2 linked regions of the Styela clava genome follow. The protein of the gene in region 1 interacts with the protein of each later gene in a biochemical or structural test. Links are inferred from orthologs where the notes say so. Each region holds a gene or a part of one and is shown on either strand. Other genes may lie near its edges.

The links.
Region 2: of the proteins of serine/threonine-protein kinase Chk2-like (region 1) and uncharacterized protein LOC120337247, one has a biochemical effect on the other in vitro, tested with the Homo sapiens proteins (2 studies listed by BioGRID, with this or other methods). The link is inferred for Styela clava from reciprocal best matches to the Homo sapiens genes CHEK2 and PPM1D.

What each region holds. Positions count from the first base shown.
Region 1 is NC_135252.1:13,800,084-13,809,014, reverse strand, and holds the start of serine/threonine-protein kinase Chk2-like, read left to right. Parts: upstream 1-5,569; 5' UTR 5,570-6,580; coding exon 6,581-6,783; intron 6,784-8,349; coding exon 8,350-8,462; intron 8,463-8,931. Other genes in the region: protein furry homolog-like, read left to right, coding at 1-4,474. UniProt on the Homo sapiens protein: Serine/threonine-protein kinase which is required for checkpoint-mediated cell cycle arrest, activation of DNA repair and apoptosis in response to the presence of DNA double-strand breaks.
Region 2 is NC_135259.1:13,993,731-14,002,966, forward strand, and holds the start of uncharacterized protein LOC120337247, read left to right. Parts: upstream 1-5,277; 5' UTR 5,278-5,319; coding exon 5,320-5,668; intron 5,669-6,594; coding exon 6,595-6,716; intron 6,717-7,931; coding exon 7,932-8,080; intron 8,081-8,490; coding exon 8,491-8,671; intron 8,672-9,236. Other genes in the region: CDP-diacylglycerol--inositol 3-phosphatidyltransferase-like, read left to right, coding at 3,019-3,684. UniProt on the Homo sapiens protein: Involved in the negative regulation of p53 expression. Required for the relief of p53-dependent checkpoint mediated cell cycle arrest.

The sequences.
Region 1 (8,931 bases):
GTACTACTGCCGTAGATTATTCGCCAATCTTTTTATTATTTTACTACCTAATTTGATCCCCAAAGAAATGATAGGAACTGTGCTTTCCTATTCTCAGGATTCTGCAATCCATACTCTATCACAGCAATCCATTACTACCTATTTACAACCAAAATCTAATGAGTTGAAATATGCCAAAGCAGGTGATGATAACAGGTACTCGTATACGGAAATAACATCAATTTCTGAAAATGGAGAAACAGAGCCTTCTGAACATGTAAAAACCGAAAGTCAATTGAAAAATTTGTGTGCATCACATTTGAAAAATTTGATCAGTGCCACGACCCAATTATGGACTTATGAAGTTGTTAATCCAAAAAATTTATTTTTAAACAGTACAGAACAACTGTCTGCATTTGTGCAGAAAACAATTGAGCTATTTGAGCAACAAATACCCAGACTAAAGGTTAGGGAGAGACTTGGAAGTGAAGCGTCAAAGTTTGCAATTGCAACTTATAACAAGCACCATGCCAATCGATCTTTGCAGGTATTTCGTGCTTTGAAACTACCATTATCGCCAGTTTTCTTCAATAAATTAGTCCGTTGCCTTTTGAATCGGATTGTTTATGGTAATGATCAAGAAACACAATCACAAGTAATAGAAATTCTTGTAACTTTACTACATGATTGTGATATTTCATTGATTAGAAAAGAATCGTCTTCTGGTGAAGCCTCTTTTAGTAACACAACAGCAGCAGACTCAAGTTTAAATTCACAGCAGTCCCACTCTTTGCATGTTCATTCTGAGCAAATCAAAAAACCTAGGTCTCCAACACCAGGTCGTTTGCCGAATTACTCTGCTAGTCCAAATAGATCTGGTGCTGCTCCATTATCTTTGCCATCACAGAATGCAACAGCTCAACCAGAATCAACTATAAGAGGACGTAAACATGCACATCGCAGATCTGGTTCTGTAACTTTGTCGAAGAAAATGGTTGATGATATCATGCATTCATCTAGTGTACCAACAGCAGGTTTATGTCACAATTCTACTGAATCCGATGTGTCATCTGCAAACTCAGTCTCATCTCCACCTAAGGAGGCAGAATCATTTCAAGGAACAAAGTCAGGAAATTTGGAAAGAAAAGTTTCAGCTCAACTTAGTTTTCGTCGACCTGCGAGCACTGGTCATAGTATGTCAATGAATTCAGAAACTGGTGTAGGATTGTCATGCTATGTCAGACCCCACAGTTCGTCCAAGGAAAGGAAAATGACATTTGCTCAAATATTTTGGATTGGTGTTGCCTTGTTGGAATCGGATTATGAACACGAATTTCTCATTGCTGTTCAACTTATTGAGAAAGTACTTTCCCATTTGCCTTTACAAGAGGCGGAAAGTCGCTCACTAATAGAAAGATATGTTACTCAAATAAAGTGGACGTCTTTTCATGGAATTCAAAATATGCTTCTGAAAGGTCTTACGTCATCTGTCACCTACAATGCCACATTCAACATATTATCCTCATTTACTACTTTATCAAATTTTTCACTCATATCTGGCAAGGCAGATCAAGGTTGTGGCTTTTCAATGAATGTAATTTCGCTTCTGCCCCATTTATTGGACTGTTTTAATGACCCAGATCAAATGTGTTTAGATGCTGCACATAATGTAGCTCAAGTTTGTTTGGACAGTTTTCCACAAAAGAAAAAACTACAATCTCTTGCTCACGTAATGAGTCTTTACTGCAATCGCTCATATGGCAAACCCTGCTTGACTTGGATCAGCGTTGTATGCAAATATATTCATGAAACATTTCCTAATTCGATACGAGAACAATTGACATTTTTGATTGAATTGTTGGATAAAGGGCCAGTTTCTACTCATCTGTCATGTTTGAGGCTTATTTGTAGCATGTTATCCTTGTCGGAAATATTACTTTCAAACTCCCCTGAGGAAATTGACTTTACGCAGAGCATTTTACGTACTGTATCAAAGTTTGTTAACAGCACAAAACTATGGAAAGAGGCTTTAAATATTTTAAAACTGGCCGTATCTCGATCATCTGCAATCACCACGCCAACTGCTTCTGGGATGCTCCCAACAAGCTCTAGTTTGAGTGGTGATATGGATCGTCTTGAACTCCCGGGACGCACCTTAACTTTCCAATATAACCTTTCAAATACCCCAATTGTTGGACGACGACGTACAGATGAATCAATGGGTAAACGTCACCCACATTCGAGTTCTCCTTCTTACCACCCAAGCACTGCTTCATCAATTGTAACGAGTTGGAAAAGGCCTCACTTATCTCAAAAACGTACTTACGATAGTATTGTATGTGTTCTCCCTATATGTGGAAAACATCTACAAATGTCTCATGACCCGACACAAGAAGAAATGAACCAATATCACCAGTCACCTGATAGGCTGATGTCACCCACTCAAGATGAGGATGTCGATGGAAAATCTTACGACTCTAATGAGGATGAGAGTGAAAGTGATACGGAGAGTGATAAGAGTGGAAGTGGTATTGATGATATAAGAGTTTTACGGAATTTTGATTTTCTTGACGAGGAACTGGAGGACAATGAAGAAGGATTTGCACTACTTCAAAATCAATCTTCAACTCCCAGCGGTCAAGATAATGAAGCTGGTGTAACAGAAGAAGACCCCGACACTTATAATCTTACACCAATCGCCAATCATGACATGAGTCAAGATCTGGATCAAACTCCGACAGAAGAGGATGAGCTTACATCTCTACACAGTCAGGATGACGATGATTATAACCAAACACTTTCACTCACTTCTGGTGTTTTGTCGCAATCATGGAGTGGGACAAGAAGTATATTTACTGATGTTGAGACCACCGATACTCACTCCTCTATGATAATGATTTCTTCAATTGCAGAAAACGAGAAACAAAGAAAAAAGAACACGCCGCAATCGTCCGTAGAAAGCATTAACATCGCTGATTCTCCACAATTGTCACAAAAAACTCACTCCAGATCACTCACTCAAAGTGAGAGTGCTATACATCCAAAGTCAAATCTATCTTCTTCAGAATCGATGAAAACATCAGAATTTGAGAAATCGACCAACGATCAAGAAAATACTTCTGAGTCTTTGAGCAATTTAGATGAACTGGAAAACGATCTCACAAATAACAGCCCGATTTCATCATCTGAAGAACTTCAATTAGAAATGGATAAAACTGATACTTTAATTTCAAGTTTGACTAATTTAGGCACACCACCACCTCCAACCATTTCATCCTTGTCTCTACAATCCTTGCCTCATTCTGATGACACTCTTGGTCAGATAGATATTCCAATTGTGGAACCACCACCTACTAGCGACATCACTTCAAACTTGACTGCAATTCGTTTTGATTCACCTTCTCATTTCTTATCGCAGCTAACGGATTCTCCCGTCAAAACTTTACAACTTCCGAATGAGGTTTCTACTAGTTTTAAAGTAAAGGATGGAACCGCTTACCATGACACGACATATACAACATGGAAACTTCACATCGCTTCTATGGCAACATATAACGACTCTGCATTTATTTCAAAAACTTTTGATCTCTTTCCAATGCTTTTCAAAGTATTATGTATTGATTTCAGTAATTTAAGTAAAGATGGTTGTAAACATCTAGGTGGGCAATTATCTAGAATTGCAGAACATTTTAGTTCCATGGTCGAGCAACTGCCCTCACAAATAAAATGCCCAATTTGTCTCGCTACAAAAAGCGCTATTGAACCAGTGGTCGAACAAATGAAATTTGGTGTTTCAGAATTACAGGATCATTTAGATTCCTACAACGCAAAACAAAAAGCTGCATCAGAGTGTATGGACTTGATAAAAAGTCTTGAAAATGGTAACACAAAACAGATAAATACAAAATCTCAGGGGATTGAATACAAACAATTGGAACTCTGTCGAATGTTATACAAACTTCACTTTCAGCTTTTGCTACTTTTGAAAAGCTTTAACAAGCTGATAAACTTGGTATCACTGAGTACCGTCGAAACGAAAAATATTACTGAACAACTCGGAATGCTAAAAAAGAAAATCCTAGTTGTTGAGAAAACTTTTCAAGCACATAGAGATAAAACAGACATAGAGATGTTGCATGATTTAAAATCTATGACAGTGGAAGAAGCAGAACAAGTACTTCAATCTAGTATTTCTAGCGAACAAGTACATCTGGCAATACGTCAGTTATTTCTACTTCGGACCCTTTGGGTGCCTGAGGCGTTCGGAGCTATTGATGAACCCGCAGCTGATATTCTTATCAAAATTTATTTCAAACATCTAGAAGATAAAAGCTCGGAAAAGTTTTTTGCTATAATCGGACCTGAGAATAGTTCGCATAATATGTGTGAAAAATTAATGATGGTGAACAGCGAGATTCAACAATCATTGGACTCACTCGCAGTTAATGCAGGAGATATTGATAAGTCTTCAACTACTAAGAAAACACATTTGTGAATTCCCAATATATATTGAATAAACAGGCCAAGAAATATAATGAAAAAATACGCTATTGAAATAGTAAATTTCTGTGACTTTAAAACTGTAGTCTCGACTCATATGTGCCTCAATTGAGTATGATTGCATGTTGTCTATCAGCCTTGAAACATAATTCCACACTAGATATTTACAGTTTAATAGATTATATCGTTTTTGATGCTCTCGCCTTATTAACGATTCTGATTTACTGGATTTTCATGTGCTTTAACCTATATACAGGGATACATTTCATTTATAAATTTTCCAACAACTTTTAGATTAAAATATTTGCAAATTTATTTTTTATTTAATTTAGTGTGTCACCTAACCAAACAGTTTGTAAAGCACTGGTTTATTCAATTAGACTTCTGGACGGTGATCCTTTAATAGCATTTTTTGTAATTTTCTGGTTATTTGATATTTGGATTAATTGACATTGGAATCATTTGTAACTTTTTGTGCTTTTTTGGTAGCATTGTTTAGTGGGATTGAGAATTCTATATCTGGTGTATTTTTAACTTATAGTCGTATGTTTGTTCTTTGGAATTAGTATTGCATGTGCAGTTAAGTAAGGTTGTTTAATTCACTACTTTATTACTTTAGTCAACTTTTAATATTCATGACGGGATGACGTAAATGAATAGCTCTAATTTTTGCCAGAACAAATTGTTCATATTTATAACTTTAGTATGAGAATTTGCTGCTAGGACATTTATTATTTTTTTCAAGTGATTGCTATGTAGGCCTACTATTTCAGATTACAAGAAATTTTTGTCTATGAATTTTCGAGTAGTAGCTATAGTCATTTTAAATATTGAATATAATTAGACTAACAAAAAAAGCACTCATCTTTAGCAAACTAATTAAAAATTTTATTTCAATACCTTGTTAATTAATGAGGTTTGCTTTATTGTATATGTTCCACTTCTTTGTTAAAAATTTACTTTCAATGTCCTGTTATGAGTGTTATTACCTATCTTTGTCATGTCTATTTCCTTACTTTCATCCATTATCATTCTATTTTCTTTTATTATATTCATGAACATTTTGTAAAGTGAGGCGACAGTTTTGAATTTTTTTTTTTTGGTCCAAGACTTTTATCTCGCTACCAGGGCCGCGGAGTTGGTTCGAAAATTAAAAGTTTGAAAAAATTATAAATTGGTTAGGAGCTGTAGCTAATAAAATTTCTGGTAGTTCCAGATTTAACGAAACTCATGGCTCCATGCTCAAGTTTCCCAGCCTTTCTCGCTACTACTCAGAATTCCCCTCAATTCCATTTTTCATGGGAAGGCTCTTGAAAGCTTTATACTAGATTAAAATTTTGTACGATTATTGTACATTTTCACCATCAATGTTGACATTATGTTCTAAAACATAGTCTCTGTTCTCTGCATTAGTTTCCTGCTATTCTGAATATTCTTTCAATCAACTTTCGAATACTATTCTACGTTTGCATCCACATAAAATTAATGTTATAAACAGTGCCTGCTTTCAGTGTTAACTTATACTCATAGAGCCATTATATTGTAATAATCATTTAATGACAAAATGTAATGAATTACTATTACTGTCAATTTGCAAATATTAATTCACAAATTTTTATATGTACCTTTTAGTATTACATATAGCCCCAGTAGAGGAAAGCACAAAATAGACTTGTAAAGCACAAATAGGCGTGTTGTGGACCACACCCTTCAATTCTAGTCCATTTGCAAATGATAACATTTACCAAGGTAAATAGTTATTGCTGGTAGGAGACTGTAATTTATCAGCAGTTACTGAAACCACTCTATTAATCTTCTTGTACACAGTTATACCCGAGTTTGAATCATCATATTAGCCATTTGAATACTACTGTATATTTTGTGTGTGTCAAAATTGCAAACTTTGCATTTTCATTTTTCAAATTGTTCCCTTTCCGTTCAGTTCGCATCGCACAGCCTTTCATTTTATACTGCTTGTCAGCTCATTTATCTCACAATATATCTTGGCAGTATATTTGTTAACTTTATTTTGTTCTCTATTCACATGTTTAAAATAATCAAAAATGAATTTACGATTGGAATATGATTGGATAACATATATATGTATATTCTTCACTGTGAATTTTATAAAGAAGGATTAAAAAAAATGAATGAAAACCAGAACTCAAATGTTGGTCAAAATGGGAAAGAAGAAAAGCCTCAAAGTTCTGGTGTGAGCGGCAGCCAAGCAAATCAACAAAGTAGTAGCAGCAGTGGACAAACTGGTACTTCATCATCGAGTGGAACTGCAAATACTGTTTCCAGGTGACTAAAACAACTTTTAGGTTTTAATTCTCTGATTAGTGCTTGAATTCAAAGTCTAATATGTAAAGTTTTCACTGGAGCTGGAGTCATATATTCAAATTCTAAAATCTCTAAAGTTGGACTTTCAATGAGAGTGAACAAAGTCAAAATACTCGCAGAAACCCAGAAAGCATTAGGTTTACTAAGCGTTCTTATTAACAGTCTTTTAACCAAAGGTTTTGGGTTTTTTGAGCTGGATCATAATCTCATAAACGTCCGGGATTGAAGGTTGGGATTTTTGTCAACTTAGACCCCACGTTAAATTCTTTTTTTAAATGGCACTATAGTTGATTATAAATTTTCCCACTCGACATCTCGAATGAATATACCCTACATGTTATATTTATCTTTCATTATTATTTTTATCATGCTATTGAAATAGGACAAGCTCAACCCTTAGGGCCCTAGAAAAGTCTAACATTTTTCATTTTTCTTTATATATTTCAAGTATTCATGTGCCAAGTCTTTGAAAATCTGGTGTTTCTTAGCTACTGCTTCCAACACTATCCAGTCTATCTGTGTGTTCATATATCTGAACAACTCAAAGCTTGGATTTTTTACTTTGTTAATTCCATGTCAAAATATGAAAAAATTTACAATATGTTCAAATTGTTATAAATAGGCCATAAGAATATTTTTGAAAACCTTAATCAGTATATATAACTCATAAGTATAGATATGCTTGGAATGCGGGGATGTGTACTCCTAATCCACTTTTAAGTCAGCTCAACCAGCCTTCATTGTTCCTGGTAGTGCGTTACAAAAGTGGTATAGTAATGCGGATGAAAATATAAAGATGTGTCTTAAAATTTGTTTTAAATTTTAAGCCATTTCTGTTTCTTACGCATTGTTAATGAGAGTGGATGGACTCTTTTCTGTATTGCCTGTCCTAGTCTGACAACATACAAATTTAAAAATGGAGTATATTGATTGAGAGTTTTCACATAATATAAGATATTCACTGATATAAGAAAGAGTTCATATATTGTATTTATGGCTCCTTTGACCAAATTCTTAGTTATCATGATGTCTATGTCTAGGGATATTCAAAACAAATGGAAAATTTAGGAAATTGAAAAATCAAAAAACAGCTTTAATTGATTTCGAAAATAAAGAACAAATCTAATCATTTTTTTGTTATGACTCTCCTGCATTATCAATTTGAAATTCTTTGAATAAACATAAACTTCTACATATTATCTGTTCTACATGACCCTATTTGAATTATTCTATAGGCTATTTATTCCATATTTGAAATTATTATTCAGGAAATTTTTCGGAATACTATAATATTTGGTTTTTGCCATTCCAGACTGTGCTAACGTTAATTGTTGATATTTAGTATACTAATCAAGTCTGGTATATCTCTCTTTGGTTTAATTTTTATTGATATGTAGAAGCCTACGGTAAATTTTTTTTTAATTTCATAATCAAAACAGGTCTGTTTTATCCATTGAGATTTGTTGAATTTTCTTGGTCTCTTATTCCTTTTAAATATTATTAACCCTAATTTATTTCCTTGTTCAGTGCTGAAACAGTGCCAACACAGGAACCAGCCTCTGTGTCAGATGAAGGTGCAGATGCAGATGAACCTTCATGGGGTGTTTTATATCCAATTGATAGATGCTTTTATCCTTTTGGTTAGTAAACTATTTTACTTCTTCTTCGTACTAATCTTGGACATATTTATGTATTGACAACAAAAATCAACTATAATATATATTGACCTTTCAATGGCAACTTAATGCTGTCAATAAAGACGTATCTATAATCTTTGAAAAGTCCGGAATTTTTTTGTTTTGGTACTGTCAGCCTAATTTATTAATGCCTGGGTGTGATGATATTGATGGCCATGGTGTTTGAACCCTAAATTTTCAATCTGCCATACCAACATGATTAGGTCTAATATACGTTCGTAATTACTGATTCATCATGGCCAATTTTCTAATAATAAAACATCAGTGATACTAAAGGGGTATTGGCAGTTAGTCTGTTATCAGTGTATAGACGACTAGGTCAAAAACAGTCTGGTCAGAGGAAAATTTAGCGCTCTTGTTTTCCTATAGCAGAGACCTTGTAAGAGTTTGTAATACTTTTCTTATGGCCTAT
Region 2 (9,236 bases), on another chromosome or scaffold:
AAAACTATCTTTCCAAAATCTGTTGCGCATTGAATATTCATTCAACTCATTGGGAATTGAAAGAGAATTCAAAAACATTTAACAACGGGCATTTTAGTTTATTATCAATGCATAACAGTATCAATATATTTATAAAATCAGAACCATAAACTTTGGTCCCGAAAAGCATATGCTGTATTATTTTACATGATCCAATCTTAAGCTCGAATTTGAGAAGATTGCATTTTTTTTTGTACCATGAACATTGTTTCTCGAAACTTTATTATTTGCTAATTTATATTGACTTAAATAAACGTTGCTTTTAGTCTTGCACCATTTACATATAATGTTGTTGTGTATTCCACAACTTGAATTATCCACTTTCACTTAATTTATCCTCCAATTACTGAAAGATATGTAGAATTCGGCTAATACCACATTTGCCTATGACTTGATCTTCGTACTGTCTGTCTCTACTCTTCTGTCTCTGTAAGTTGTTAGCTACTTTGAAAACCCTCTCAAGTAAATAATGATAAATTAAACTATCACTGGAATTCTGATCTGCTATTCGTTTAACTTTTGAGCATTATAACCTGCTTAGTTAGACAAATAGATCTGTGCAACAAATTTTCTCAACAAATTATCGGATATATATTTTTTTTTTCATTAAAATTAGAAAAAGAAGTACGAAGCACATTGCAAGATAGCATTTCGTGCTGAACAATAAAAAATATGTCACCTACTCAATTGTGGTGAAATAAACATTTTACACTATTCTATCGCTGTAAAATCGCTGCTGTGAACATTCATGGATACAACAATTTACAAGTAGAATTAGTAACAATTTATACATTCGGTTTTATTGCACAAACTTGAATGCATAAAACCATTTTATAAGTATGCATTTTAATAATATTATTATTAGTTAAACAAACGCGAAATTAGAAACAGTTCAAGTGGAGGATGTTTGTAAAACAGTTAATGACATTCAAATGGACCTTCATAAAAGATTTATTCAGCTTGAAATTTGTTTGAGACAATCATATATAAAATCACATATAAAATATAAGAGCGTGATGAAGATGAATCACTATATGTTTATTCCATTGGATAGGATATACACATTTTTCCCGGGGAGAGGAGAGCCGATAAGACGGCTTATCCATATGACGAACCGCGGCCTCTCGTCCGGTTACCATTCCAAGTCGGGTATGGGATTAGTTATATTGTTTGTTTTCGGGAGCATGGACTTGGTGGTGGAGGGAGCCGTAACCGACCAGCGGTTACGCGAACCACCCAACGACGGCGAGGAGTCCAGCAATCCTCTCGCACATAACCATCTCCACATCGGATTCGAACCTGCGAACCCACGCAGAGTAATTAGAGGTGCGGTGGCGAGCGTATTCCTAACGCTTAACCCGTTGAGCCACACCGCCGTGCCATTCCCTAACTTTAAAATACGAAGATAACTTTCGAAGTAAGATTTGTTGAATCGCATATGTTATATCTTATGACTTATGGGATTAGCCAGGTATTTGTTTCAGATACATGGATTTGTTGGTAGAGGAAGCTGTAACCGACCTGTGGTTACGTATACCATCCCACGGCGGTGGCAGCAATCCTCTCACACATAATTATCCTCCACGGAATCAAACGTTAGAACCCATGAAAGTAATTTAATTTGAATGAGTTGCAATATCAGTTTTAAAATAAATAATGATTGAGCGTATAAAACTGGTACGTAATTATGGGCAAAATATCCTAGGATGTAGCAATTAGGACATTTAATCATCCAAACAGTGGCCATCTGATTTGATTCTCAACAAACCAGACATAAAATCTTCCTGGTTTTTAATTGTTCAGTATCCATTTTATGATTCGTCACGAACAGCTGATTAATTATCTTGTGTTACGCAACAATTTCTTTTAAATTTAAATACCCAACGGATGCATAATTTTCTTTGTTGCGTCACAAATAAATTACAAAATAATATCCACTTGGGGCGCTCCTGCTCTTCAAACAGACGTTGCTGGTTGCGCCTTTTAGTCTTTGTGTTTGAATTCTGGACTTTGTTTATTTTTTGCTCTACGATAAGTTGTAATTGTGACTATACGCTGTTGTATTTTATCGCCCTTCATGTGTTCGGCAGTGCTACAATACAATTTTTATATGGGTAATGTATATTTATTTTCTCCTATCGGAAATCAGACCATGCAATAATATTCTGAAACTTCCACAGCGATCAATTATTTTAACTGAAATTGGAATTAACAGGCAAAAATAATAATCGACAGGAATGAATTTCACAATTTAGCTTTGTTAATAGTCTGGAAAACATTATAGACTAACCTACAATCTTATGTCAGTATTTATTTTACGGCATACCCAGATATTGCTCCTCGTTTTACCCATTTTACAGTCTTAATGCTGTAATGTCACCGTCAGACGGTGTTTTTTTCATATATCAGCATATCAACACAGTCAGACAGTCATGGAATCTTCAGATCTTATGTGTCTGTGTGTGCCGTACTGTAATAAATTATATGTTCGCTCTTTGTATACATACTGAAAATACAGAAATATGTCCTTACATGCAGACAAATTCTGCAGTCATTCTTCTGTTCTCCAACACAGCGCAATATTTTTTAATGTCGTAGTCAGATAGTAGGGTAGGTAGATAATTTGCATCCGGGTACAGAGGTAGCAAATTTTAAGAGTTGTTCTTTTCATATGCCCCTATGCAGCTATGCCTGTATGCAGATATGGCTGAATGGTATAGGCTGGGATGGTCAGCTAATTTGCACTTTGAATCTGTGAATGTTTTACAAATAAAAGTATTACAGTATTATAATACTTCATTCGAAAAAATACCCTTTTATCAATTACTGAATTATTACTATGGTTGTTGGACAATTACAGAATTATCAATCATCTCTTTTATGTAGTATATATGATATCATTTTTGAACAGTTAAGCACTTTTAAATTTCATAAGTATTTCAATTGCCTTCACAGATTATAAATTATTCGTAGATCAAAATGACTAAAAAGATAGTTACTGCACATGATATTTTTATGTTTGTACCCAATCTGATTGGCTATGGGAGAATCGTGCTTGCTATAGTAGCATTCTACTTTATCAAAACAAATTATATTATTGCTGCCGCGTGTTATATTCTCAGTGGATTCCTAGATGCATTTGATGGTCATGCAGCTCGTCTTCTTAATCAAGGAACAAAGTTTGGTGCAATGTTGGATCAGTTGACGGACCGTGCGGCCACAGCTTGTTTATGTGTGGCACTTGCTACATTTTACCCTCAATATATGTTCTGGTTTCAAATGAGCTTAGCACTTGATATTGTAAGCCATTGGATGCACTTGCATGTTTCTCAGCTTGGAGGAACAAGTCACAAAAGCATTGGTTTAGAGGGGAACCCGATCATGCGGCTGTACTACACATCCCGGCCTGTATTGTTTGCAATGTGCAGTGGAAATGAATTATTCTTTGCCATGCTGTATCTCTTGCATTTCACTGAAGGCCCGTTGATAGAATTCGCTGGATTGAATCTCGGTCTTGTCCGATTGGTTCTTTACCTCAGTACACCCATCATGATCGGAAAAGCAGTGATCAGTTTGATACATTTGGTTGATGCTTCGCGAAGACTTGCAGAAGTGGATGCTGAAGAACGATCCAAAGCTGAATAGTTTGAAATAGGTTTGCTTATTCTGGTTTACTGTGTTGAAATCTTCAATGTATAAGAGTGCAATATTGATTGAAAAATTTGCGTTCAGGCAATTTGAAATTGGTTAATTCGGAGATGGACTGACATGACGTGTTGGAGCTGGGAAGCAATTTCAGTATAAAAATTTCTTTCAATCGAATCTGTATTTTTAAGTATGATTTATTATAGTAGCTCTATTGCCTCTGTATTTGTTCAGCAATTTCAGCAAAAAATAATTCGTTTATCGAATCTGTATTTTTAAGTATGATTTTATTATAGTCGCTATATTGCCTCTGAAATTTGTTATATCATTGCACAATGAATAATGGATCCCCGTTTTTTATTCTGCTATTTATTTAGATGATTGGTGGTTATAAACTGATTCATTATACAGCAAAATGATTCGTAATAATCAAAAATAATTTGTAAATTTAACTTATTAAATTAACATTTCAACTGATTTAAATTAACACTATAATTGGTTTATATATATATTGAGATCTTCAGATATAAAAGTAGGCACTGTGCGAATAACTGATTGAAACAAGAACATGTTTTAGTTTTTCAAACTAGAATGAATATTTCTGGTATAATATTTGTTTGAATTTGAACATTATAGAATCTTCCATAATATTTTGTAATTTAAATCTAAAAAACTTCCATTTACCTGAGCAAAATATTGTGCATAAAGTTTTCATTTTTGCACCTTCGTGGTAGGTATTGTTATAATATACATCTACTTTGTATTCTTCGTGCAGGAAGTCTTCGTTTATTCTACTCCTGTACATTACTACTCAACTATGCTATCATAATAAATACTGACATATTCGCGGGCTGTAAAGTTGTATTATACGTGTATCTGTTTGTGTTTATTTTTTTTGTTGTTTCTTAATCATGTAAAAAAATAGGACAAAATAATTAATTTTATATGGTATTTGAAATACAAATTACGTGCATAGATGGCAAAAACTGAAAAATTTGAATGTTTTGGAATTTTTGATAAAATATTTGTATACAGAATATGCTCTTATTAGATCATGTACCATTTTTAGTTATAGATACCATAGTTTCTATTTTCACAAGCATTTTGTGCTAAGCAAATCTCAGTTTCATTGGTAAAACTTTCTAAAGTTAATTTTTTTTGTTTAAATTTAAAAAAAATTCAGTGCATAATTTTTGCATATTCAAATATTTCATTTCATTTGGACATCTCCAGGTACTTTTATTTAAAAGATATATATATTTTAAGATCAAATATTTTTTCTCGAATTTTTTGAGATATGGCGAAATAACTTATTTTGGAAAATGTGATAGATTTCAGTTCCCGAAGCCTTGCTTTGAACAAACACCGAAATATTCTAGTCTACCTTTTTGTAACCTTTGTTTCAACATACTGTAATTTCTTCATTTTTGCTATATTTATTATTCTTTATGTTCGAGCAGTTGTTTTAACTTCTGTAGGTCAGATTGGTCCAGTTCCTATTATGTAGATGGGACAGCTCTTTTAGGTAAAAAATTCAAAACCTGAAAAAAAAATTTGTAATTTTTTCCATAATTATGTTTAATTTGTTTTATTTTATGTATGCAAATATCAAGCTAATGTAATCTGCTGTCTACCATGTCTCCCACAAATTGTTGGAATTTACGAGTGACTGCTGAGGTGAATCAAGGAGGAAGGAGATACATGGAAGATGTGACGGCAGTGCAATTCGAACGTGCAAAACAAAACAAAAAAGTTGTGGAATATGCCGCATTTGCTATATTTGATGGACATGGCGGCAAAGAAGCCGCACATTTTGCCAGAGACAATATTTTAGACAATATTAAATGTCAAAAAGGATTTTTTTCTAAAGATGTTGAACAAGTTAAGAAGTCAATAAAAGACGGATTTATCGCAACACATCACCAAATGTGGCAACATTTACCCACATGGCCAAAGACGTATAACGGACATCCCAGTACAGCAGGTTTGTAACATACCCCATAAATAGGAATCAATATCATGTTTGAATATTTCAATCATTATCATAGTTATTCATTATAACAAATGTCTTATCAATAACTTATGACTTAGCTGCATGCCAATGGGAAATTTATTTATAAATATTCAACAATAGAATGCGTGATTTAAAATCAGTATTATCGAACATATATGCTATTGATGCAACATGCTTTAAAAGTCAACTAATCAATAGTATTGATGTTTGATATGTTTAGTTACATAATTGTTATCTATGCAGGATGGCCAAAACAGAACCAAGTCTTTTGGAGCTTTCTAGAGAGACATAACTTTTGTGTCAAACGTCGTGAATTACTGAAACCTCTGGGTAGCCTACAATTTTATACACACAAGAGAATGTTGAATAAATTGTCTTCATGTTCTTAGAAGTTATTAAAAAATTTATGGGTTCCATTTCTGGGGCCACCCTGTGGTATTGCTTGTTGTCTCTGAGAACAGATGACCAAATATTTACCACTACTCACTGGAATATGTACAGCATCGAAATATCCTTATTTCACCAATCTGAGAATTATAAATCATGAATAAGGATGTTTAAATAATCTGATATGCTGGAAATATCCAATTAATTTCGGATGTCCATAGACCGTATGTGTAAATTTTTGTGGTTTAATTCATGTAAAATGACTAAATTTTACATAGAAACTAGCTATTTTTATATTCTGTTATCTTTTAATGTTGGTACATCTAGAATTAAATAAAAAATTCAATTAGGAAAAAAATATGTATTGTTCACAACTTGCAAGCCAGAAATAATTACTAAGTTAACTAAATCATTTTATACCAGCTGCCAATGTGGTATAGCTTATATTATATTGTGAGAAATTCTTCATCATATTAAAATATTGTGATACCTGCTTTTTTTGTTTTTAGGTACAACTGTTAGTCTGGTCCTTATCCGAGGAAACAAGATGTACGTTGCTAATGTTGGTGATTCAATGGTAGTCATGGGAACAAGAGAATATCGCTTCAAAAATAATGCCAGGGCTTTTCAGGTAAATTATTATTTTTCACAAAAACTTGCTGTTATGTTGACTTTTATACTATTAGCTTATATAGTTTCAGCCAAACTTACGTCTACTAATAAAATATACAGAAGTGATTCTAGTTAATATTGTTTATAGGGTGGTCATCAACAGATTATCTTTGTACATATTTCAAGATTTCTCGTTTCTGTTTATGATATACCAAAGAATTTGTTTATTTAGCACTTCAAAAATATTAATACTTTGATGGGTCATTCAAAGCTAACCTATACTAGTGTTGCATTACAATGTCGATGCTTTTTGTCATCGTATTAGAACCTTTGTTGACTGTGTGCCTACCTCTGTATACCATTACAGCTGTGTGGTGTAATTTAGTCAATTATTCTGTATATTGTGTAAAGAGAAAAGATGTCAATATACGATACTCCCATTTCACAAACCATTGCTCAAATTTAATAAGCAATTAGGCTGAGTCTGTATTGCAATTGCTTTATGTTTTGTTTAGTTTCTATTCTTAATTTACCATTTATACAAAACAATTTTATCAGAATGTTATATTTTTTTTATCTCGATGGTATTAGTATATTCTTGAATTGAGTGTTCATTTAGTTCAATATTTTCATTATTTCGTGGAGTTTTGGAATTTGCCACCTTCAATATTAAATCCAGTAGCTATGTACACTGAAACTTCATTTACTTATTAGGGATAGGTCACACTTCACTTGCACTCAATCAGAGTCATATCTGAGCAAATTTATGAGCAACCACTGAAACGCCAAGACCCACGAAAACGATCCTGGTGCCAATACACTCACACTTACCAATACTATACTGATTGGCAGAAGTATTGAAGCAGTTCAGGTCCATAACAATCAGTAAAAATGCTCTAAATGGTTCTGTTTTCCCAAATACTTATCACAGTTCATTTTGATTTAAAATTTTCGAATATTGTCCATAAGTCTTACACCCATGCAGATAGAGCAAAACCGTATTACGGACTTACAGTATTTCCGGAAATATGCCAATAGCTATGTGAATGATTGTGAAAAAATTAGTTGAGCAATGCTGAACTAGGAAGATACTAATCTTTTTATAATAGTTACTCCTTAAGTTATCAGTGGCTTTTTAATTAAAAGAACTTTATTCAGAAAGTGGGAAGGAAAACACCTCATAAATATGATGGTGCTATGTGCTGGTGATATCATTATATCATATCTATTCCAGGCTATGGAGCTGACCGTTGATCATAAACCTGAATTACCAGAAGAAAAAAAAAGAATTGAACACTGTGGAGGATGTGTTATGAATAAAGCTGGAGTAAATAGAGTCGTATGGAACAGACCTAAAATAACACACAGTGGTCCAATCAGAAGGTAAAACATTTACGATAAATATTATGGTGCAATGAGCCGAAATAAAAATAATGAACTTTTATAATCTCATACATTATTTTTCATTACTTTGTGTTGTTAAATACATGGAAAATCCCTGATATATACCAACTTTCACAATGCAAACAATCGTATCAGATGCATTTCAGTGAAATATCAGTATTTTGTGTTGTTAATTACGGTTGCTGAACTGTAGTATATACCAACTCTCACAATGCTAACATAGTATAATTTGTATTGAAAAATGACAAATTTTCCTTTTTCTAGAAATATATTTTATCAAAATTTATTTTTTAATATATTTCCTTCCAATTTCAGCTTGTAATACTAGTCAAGTAATTTTCAATAAGCTCAATGATCCCCCTTGTTATGTATTGTTATTTCTTGTTTAGAAGCACAAAACTTGACAGAATACCATTTCTTGCAATTGCACGTTCACTCGGTGATTTATGGAGCTTCAATTCAGAATTAAATGAATTTATAGTATCGCCAGTACCTGATGTGCATTGCTATGACTTAGTTGATGGAAGAGAACAATTTATTGTACTTGCAAGTGACGGACTTTGGAATATGGTAAATTTTGTATGAAGTTTACATCGATTCTGATGTGTTTCGGTAGAATATTAAAAAAGGCAGTTTTTTATCTGATGTGAATGAAGGAATTCTTTATCGTTTGTCCAAGGTATATTTGTGCAAGCACACATATTTTTATTAAAATGACAGTTTGTAATTCGCAGTTGACACAGCTTGCTCTAAACTCGGCTCTGGACGAGTTGTATCTCAAACGTGATAAGTTCGGTCGAGCTATTATCTTCCTGGTTCAGTATAGGTCATTAAATTTGTTGAACATGTATAATGCGCCGTTAAAAATCAGCAATTTTACATTTAAAATGGCTGTCAAACGATGTCAATAGTTCTTTCAGTTCGAATCTGGTATATTGAAATGGTTCCTCATTCAGAAATGTCCCAGTTTTGGTTTCAAATATGGCCCTAATCACTCAGTTAGATTATGTTTATCCTGCTATTCCAATAGAGTGAATGCAATTGAGATGACATGAAAACAAACCAAGGCAGCAGAAAAGGCCAATAAGAAAACCGGAAAGAAGTGACTGGAGGCATCTAGCGTCCATCAACAGCC